Daphnia pulex: one gene and its partner. The protein of the gene in region 1 binds, or shares a complex with, the protein of each later gene. Links are inferred from orthologs where the notes say so. Each region holds a gene or a part of one and is shown on either strand. Other genes may lie near its edges.

What was found. Proteins that work in one complex are often made in the same cells at the same time.
Region 2: exosome component 10-like (region 1) and exosome complex component RRP40-like share a complex: the UniProt entries of both Drosophila melanogaster proteins name them as parts of the RNA exosome complex. The link is inferred for Daphnia pulex from reciprocal best matches to the Drosophila melanogaster genes Rrp6 and Rrp40.

Annotation. Positions count from the first base shown.
Region 1 is NC_060022.1:1,682,768-1,686,519, forward strand, and holds the start of exosome component 10-like, read right to left. Parts: upstream 2,421-3,752; 5' UTR 2,238-2,420; coding exon 2,187-2,237; intron 2,116-2,186; coding exon 1,979-2,115; intron 1,916-1,978; coding exon 1,804-1,915; intron 1,744-1,803; coding exon 1,633-1,743; intron 1,565-1,632; coding exon 1,196-1,564; intron 1,127-1,195; coding exon 983-1,126; intron 924-982; coding exon 1-923. Other genes in the region: transmembrane protein 98-like, read left to right, coding at 2,837-3,006, 3,076-3,337, 3,451-3,642, 3,751-3,752. UniProt on the Drosophila melanogaster protein: Catalytic component of the RNA exosome complex which has 3'->5' exoribonuclease activity and participates in a multitude of cellular RNA processing and degradation events.
Region 2 is NC_060019.1:5,895,726-5,899,477, reverse strand, and holds the start of exosome complex component RRP40-like, read left to right. Parts: upstream 1-1,339; 5' UTR 1,340-1,425; intron 1,426-1,426; exon of another isoform or gene 1,427-1,488; 5' UTR 1,489-1,569; exon of another isoform or gene 1,570-1,807; intron 1,808-1,881; exon of another isoform or gene 1,882-1,968; intron 1,969-3,752. UniProt on the Drosophila melanogaster protein: Non-catalytic component of the RNA exosome complex which has 3'->5' exoribonuclease activity and participates in a multitude of cellular RNA processing and degradation events.

The DNA of each region.
Region 1 (3,752 bases):
GATACATTTGTCACGATGCCAGAATGAGCCGATTCGGCGAAGATTAGAGCTTGTGGGAACTCTTTTACAGTGACGCGGACTCCAAACTCCTCGGATCTTGACGCCATTGATTCGATCGTTTGCGGATTCAGCAGAGTGGGTAGGTCGTCTCGGATGTCCTGAGAATGTGTCAAGTCGTGCATACAATAAAGGGGGTCTTCGGTGTCTTGATCCAATGGAGTCGGCATCATTTTCGGGATGGCTAATGGCTGGCCGTGATGTTGTAGAGTGGCGAGAGGCATTTCTCTGGCTTTTAATATGATTCCATGGAGATGAAGTAAATGCTGACGAACGAGCGAAGGGATAGGTGAACAACAGGCAAGGATACCTTGCATCTCCTTAGGTAGAACATCGGCGATTTGTAACAACATGTGTTTGGGTAGAACAAAACCAGTGCTCTCGTCTTCTTCTCGAGCTATTCGATCGCGCCAAGCAAACAGTTCTTTTAATGCAAACAGCTGACGTTCGTTGAAAATCTTCTTGCTGAGCCTATACAATTCCAAGTGACTTTCGGCAGTGATAGGGGGAATTCTGTAACGTTTGAGACAAACCAGTCGGCTGTTTTGCCAAACTGCTGTCAGCAAATTATCTCCTGTTCCCTTCATCTTCAAATCCTTTTTCATCTTTTCGTAAATGTATCCTAGGTAGTGGGTATCTTCTCGAGCATAATTGACCATTTGCTCAGGCAAGGGACGAATTCGCCAATCGGCTAGCTGGTATTGTTTGTCAGCAATAACTTGGCAATAATGACGAAGGAGGAAGGACAAGGACAGCTGTGCAAAACCCAATAATTTGGCAGCGTGATAAGTGTCAAAAAGATTAACGACGTAGATACCGAAATCGCGCTGAAGCCACTGAATATCCATATCAGCTCCATGAAAAATCTAAACGAAAACCAACAAAATAAGTTTGTTACTTCTTCAATTAAACAGTTAGCTCATACCTTAACAATCTTTGGGTTGCAGAAAACTTCATTTAAAGGCTGTAGTTGATCCCATAGCTCTAAAGTGTCTATAATGTAGTCAGAACTGCTTGTTGAAATTTGCATTAAGCATGTTAGGCCTTGAAAGGATCTATATGAATGGGCCTGGCAATAAATAATTAAGGAACTTAATAAGGTTCACCAATTTAAAAACTGCTAGACAGTGAATAATACCTCCAGATCTACAGCAATCACAGTTTCCTCAAGCAAAACTTTCAAAAGACTTTTTAAACCTTCTTCAGTATCTATCATTACCAAAGGGATTTCTTGAACACTTGGGAATGGAGGCACTTCATCAAGTACGGTGAAGAACTTTGGATCCGGTGTAAAACGTTCCAATTCAAATTCGTACGGATGGCTAAACTCTTCATCGCCCAAGTCATTCAATTCTAATAGTATCGCCAGTGGTTTCAACGAATGAGGCTTATCTTTGATTTTGGGGATAAACGGTCCAGGTGAATTCTTGATTTTCTCTTTGAATTTCAACTGTGGTCTCAGAATGTTTTTAGCAGAAAGAAGTTTGTAAGAGGTTGCTGGTGAACTCTGTAAACAAGATGAATACTTTATAGATTCAGCATCTAAGACAACAATTGGTATGAAAAACTAGATACCACAGAATGCCGATTCCAACTGCCATTAATATTTGTAGTTTTTGCCATCATCTCAACAACTACAGTTTCTGCTTGTTTTTTTAATCCAGCAGCTTCATCTAGAGAAAGATTCTGAAACGAAAGCAGTTTTTTTTAACAGGTGTAAAATTCTAATAATTCCTAGTAGCATACTATTCGCTCCATCAAGATGTCATTGTTGTCCGACACCAGCTCCATCTGCTCTTCCAAATCCAATTTTCCCACCTTTCCTGTTAGTCCATAGTGTCCGTAAATTGTGGTCATCCTTGACAAATAAAAATTTTAGGATCAAACAAAATTCTTATACTTAACGGTAGCTGTAACTCACAAGTTAGTAATGCGACCACCAAATTCTTTCATTGCGCTGGCATATGCTGGATAACTTTGGTAGTAATCCCAGTCTGAACCACTACTTGGTAATTCATTAGAGTACTTTGTGACCTTCATTGCACTTTGAAATAATTTCTAAATAAACAGAGAAAATCAAGTTGTGACTGATATGAAATTTCAAAATGTTTGGCCAGCCAATGCTCTACCTGTTGAACCTCTTGGGCATTTCCATTCTTCTCACTTTCTTTTTCACTCATTTTAAAAATATTCTCTGATCATCAATTGCAACAAAATCTTATTGCGATTATTCACAGAAAACATTAAGCACGTGAATCGCCTTGTTTCAGTCTCGCCGTTGACCAAAGAATCATGCTTTCAGAATCCACTTGTCGTCTGCTACATTATGCATGTAATACACCGTTAGTTAAACAGTTGATTTATTTATTATTAAACTTAAAAAGGATCTATATTACTTAATTAATTGAATATCTATGAACAAGTAAAATATTTAGTAAATTTAGAATATTTTTCAACCCACGACTAAATATTTTTTATTCATTTGAAAATGCTATTGCGCTTTAAAATTCTGCCAAGGGCGTTATAAAAGTTCCCCGAAAATAACAAATCAACAAGTGCCTTGACCATCATTCTTTTCCATAAAATAATAACAATTTTAATCCCGCCGTAAAAATGTTTGCACTAGTTGTTTATTAACTTGGACTTTCGTTATTGAGTACTTATAAAGGTTCACTGTGTCATCCAAACTTGTCGTTTTTGCGAAGGTAACTAATATATGACAGACGCTTGAAACGATCGAAAGATTTTCTTATATTGCTTTCTTTTTCAGCACATAACAATGCACGCTGTTGTCGTTGTGACTGGAGGGATTTTGACTTCCGTATTCATTGCTGCTCTCCTTGCGCTATTGTTTATATGCAGATATAAACTATGTTGCTTTAATCTTGGTTCTAAATTTAAGAAGAAGGAACAAAGCCCACAAGTGCAGCAGAATGGATTCCATGTGAGGTAACTATCTCAAAAACGAACAAAGACTTCTTTCGCAGTTGGGAGTAATTTTGCTTTTGAATTTCCCAGTAGGTCTGATATTCATCTAATCAGTAGCCTAGAGATGGAAGATGAAGACTACATCATGGACAATATTGATCCTGAAGATTTAGTGATTCACCCTGACTTGGACAAAGTTCTAGAATCTCACAGATGGAAATGGGTGGACGATGCCCTTGGAATTGTTCCTCATTGCCTTCAGATTTTAAAAGGCTGTCACTTGATGAGTGAAAGGCTTGTGACTACAGCTATGGCTTCTACAGATCAACAGAGATTTGTTGAATTGGCAATGGTACAACTCTCATTATCTAAAAGAAAAATAATTGCATGCATTTCTGTTATGTTGGAATTCAGTTGTGACACTCCAAAGATTACTATGTGTCTGAAAGTTCTGTTGTGTTTTAGGTTGCAAAATCTGTCCTTCCATTAGTTGACGACGTCTTGCGTTCCATGTGCCCACCCATTCAACCACGCGATGTCGAAATCCGAGCCTTTGCCCTCTTGAATGCTGTCAACCGCTTGAGCAAACTCACCGAGCGAACATGCAATGTGTCGTGGCCATCAGCTATTTTCGAAGAGATGAATATGCATTACCAGGTAACGTGCATCTTTTAAATGCTACACGACTTGTTTGCTTGGAAACGCGAACTGGCTCTGAATGTTCTCGATACTATCTGCTTAACTTTTCATTAATTTGTACTGCAGAA
Region 2 (3,752 bases), on another chromosome or scaffold:
CTGCTTATCAATGCTGCTGAACCGTTGGTCGAATTTACTAATTTTCTTGTTTGTGTCTTCTAGGTCGACCGCCAGCGATTGGATGTTTACTTGGATTTGTGGAATGGTGGCTGCAGTCATGGTATACATCTCTTGTTGGATGGCCTTTATTTGGTCCTGTAGGGTTGTCAGGTCATTCCTTGGGGTTGGCGGCGGTGCGGGGCGGTTGGTTGGGGTGGGGGTTCGATTGGTTACTGAGCTGTACAGATTTGCGTGGCGGGATCGAGCTTCTTGTATGGTGATTTCCTCCAGGTAGGCCATTTTAATAATGCTCTTCATTTGTTGGTATGCAGGGCATTGATCGCTGTCTGCTTCATGATCTCCGTTGTTGCAGTTAATACACCTTCTTGAGCATTCTTGGTGTGTCTCGTGTTGTTGTTTGCCACATCTTTTGCAGTTAGGGCCATTAGCGTTGCACCTGTTGGCGGTGTGGCCGAGTCTCCAACAGTTCCTGCATCTGTATGGGTTTGGTACCGATACCTTTACTGGGTAGCTGATTGACGCTATCTTGATCCTGTCTGGGACCTCTTTCAAGAAGGTAAGTGATACTGTTGTCGAGGGGGAGCCTGGTGAGTTGCGGATCGGGAGCCGTTTGACATGTGTCACGTGCTGGTCTGCTAGAGCTTCCAGAATCTCCTCCTCCGCGTCACTTATCGGGATACCAAAAATTACTCCTACCTTCCTCGCTGTTGACCGGGTGGGCAGAGTGCTAGATGTTGGTCTGCCTGCCAGGGTCTTGATGTTGAGTAGTACTTGTTGTTGTTGCAAGTCAGTAGGGCTGACGGATAGGTCGCCGCCTGGGAGTACCGTGGAGTCCCGGGGGTCCCCAATGGCTGTGCAAATGGCTTTTCGCATGGCCTCACGTTCTGCTAAGGACATTGATTTGAAGTTTGGACGGTCATCCATGAGTTTGATTATCACAGGGAGGGGGTGGTCTGTTGAGTTGCACGGTCTTTTCGAACGCGGTGGGGCATCACGGTCGGCCATTTTGTTGGTGGCACCTGGCGCGGAAATTGCTTTGACACGGGGGCCTGTGGGGGGGGGGGGGGGGGTCGCGCGTGTTTGTCTGTCGGAATAAAGCGGGGGGCGTATATACGGTGAGTACGTGAGTCTGCTGGCACTTTGAGAGAGAGAAGAGAATGCACGTCAGGTCTCTACGAAGGTGCAAGGCGAACTCCCTTCCTCGAGTTCTTTAATTAAAAAACAATCAAAACATGATCTACGTGTTATCTGGTGTAATCATCGCGTTTGGTTGCCATCGTTACGACTGTCATCTTCAAGTGCTTAACCGCCGCTTTAGCAGACGACAGCTGTAAACAAAAGCAAGGCCAAGATCAAAGACACTTTTTTTTTCCTTTTTTTTGAGCAGCCTTTCCTCTTTTTAGGGTAGAAGAATATATAATTATGTATTGATATACTAAATCTCAAATTGCATTCAAAACCTTATAGATTGGAACAAAGATTGGAAGCCTGGTCCATATCGCAAGACAGGTGCTTAAAGAAGTGACACTGCAGATGGACTCGGATATGGTGTGACTTAATTTTGATGTGTATTTTAAACAGGCAAGAAAAAGTGATCCCAATTTCATTGTAGATGATAAAACAAGCTGTAAAAAATGATAATGAGCCTCCTGCAATCTTTGAGGTGAGAGAAAATTTTGATGACATAAAAAGGGAGAGTGAGGAAGCAGCAGAAGATAACCCTGAAGGGAGCTCCAACGGAGATGAGAATGGAGATGATGATTTTAACTTGGAAGCATTCAATAAGGTTATAATTTTGATAAAATGTCACAATTATTAATGCTAAACGGTTTAGCATTAATAATTATATTTTCTTTACAGGAATATCCTGAGCTTAGTGACACAACACACCAAAGAAAATATGGATGTAAAGATGCTTGAAAGTCTTTTCATCACAAGAATGTTTTGGTATGACATATGAATATGTACTATGGGACCAAGCTAGCACCTGTGAATTGTGATACATGTGTGAAAACATTTTTAGGCAGTGATTATTTGCGACTTCACGTCATCCTGGCAACATCAGGGAGTGAAGCCCTTTAAATGTGACGTTTTTACGACCGATCCAACTTACGTCAACATACGAGATCACTGATGAAAAACTGGCCCGTCCGTAATGTCCGCACAAATACTTAAACTGTCTGAAAACATTTGACCATTCACACGAAAGAAAAAACATTCAGTGTGATACCAGTGGTGTGTAACCTCACAATATTTTTCTTCATATCTTTCTCAAGATTTTTAACTGTGCTATAATCAATTCGCAATAGTAGCGACGCAAGGAACAAGACGATTTTAATGTCTTATTATCATTTACGTGTTGAAATGTCAAATCTTGTTACTAATTTTCCTTTGTTCTAGGAGCTGGAAAAGATTTTCGCTAGCTGCTCTGGGTCATCGTCAAAAGTTGCCAATCCGGAGAGAGAGGATCGATTATTGAGAGACGATATGAGCTGCATGAAATGCGACCGAAAATTCCCTTTGATTGGAGCGGCTATCCAGCTGCGATGTTCTACAGTTTATTCTCCTCTTTTGAAAGGTAACGCAGTTCTCTTGTGTTAGATCAAACAGTTTTATTTGATGCCTTGTTAATAGGTCGTAAACAGCAGCAGCAGCAAAGCCCAGTTGTAGTTCCTAATAATGACGTGTCTGGGTCTGAATCAACTCCATCCTCGAGTAATCTTCCGGGCAGTGACGTCATCGTAGCATCCAATGAACCGTCTTCACCCACCATCAGCGGTAAGGAGGCTTCCGACACTTCGGAAGAAGGAAGTCGAGGTGGTTGTGGATAAAATCATGCGACTCGCTTCTATTAACAGTGAGCAGCCAGAAAAGTGGCTCAGTTTGGAAACAAGTTACCCGCTTAATCAACTAGTTAACATGTTAATCGTCATCGGTAACCGAGGTGTTGTTCTGAAGTTCGGAACGAGTTGGTCTCACCTCATTTTGCTTCGTGATCAAAGACGAACCAAGAACGCGTGACTCACTTTCTCACTGGTAAATCATTTTTATTGTGTTGTTCTTTTATTTAGCTAATATTCTGCGGTTTAGATATTCTTGAGAAATCCGGATTTACTGTTCCGCCGTTAAGGACGGTACTCATGGCGGATCAATGGCTGGCTTTGATTGGACTCCGTCAGAGGAGATCAGGACACTGTTTTGACGGGATCTGCGGATGAAGGTGAAACGGACGGTGTAGTGTAGGATCTACGAGGACGAGTACCCGATTCATGCCGGATAGCAATTCTCGCGTCTTCCTCTTTTGTGTAAACTGACGGGTCGAATGGGGCAATAGTAAGCAACAGAAAAATCACCAGCAAACGGCCAGTTATAGCAACACAGCCTTGATGGTCACAAGTTATCGTATGGTTTTAGTATGTGGTGATCCTCGTTGGCTGACGAGCCATCAAGTTCAGTTTTGAACGTGGGGTGGGAGGGGGAGAGGGTCGCTTCTCAGCCTTCAGCAACTTGTCAATCTCGTCTCTTTGGTAAAATGACGGCCAATATCTTGTCTATTTCACCTGCATTACATTTGGTTGTTTTCTTTATTCAGGAAAACTTCGAAGTAATCGTAAGCAAACCGGAACAGATCCGGTATTATTTTCTCGAATGGACAGTTTCTTTGGCTACTAGAGAGGCGGTTGATCAACTGGTGATTAAATTTTGATTCCCTCCTTTGTTTTGTCCCGTCT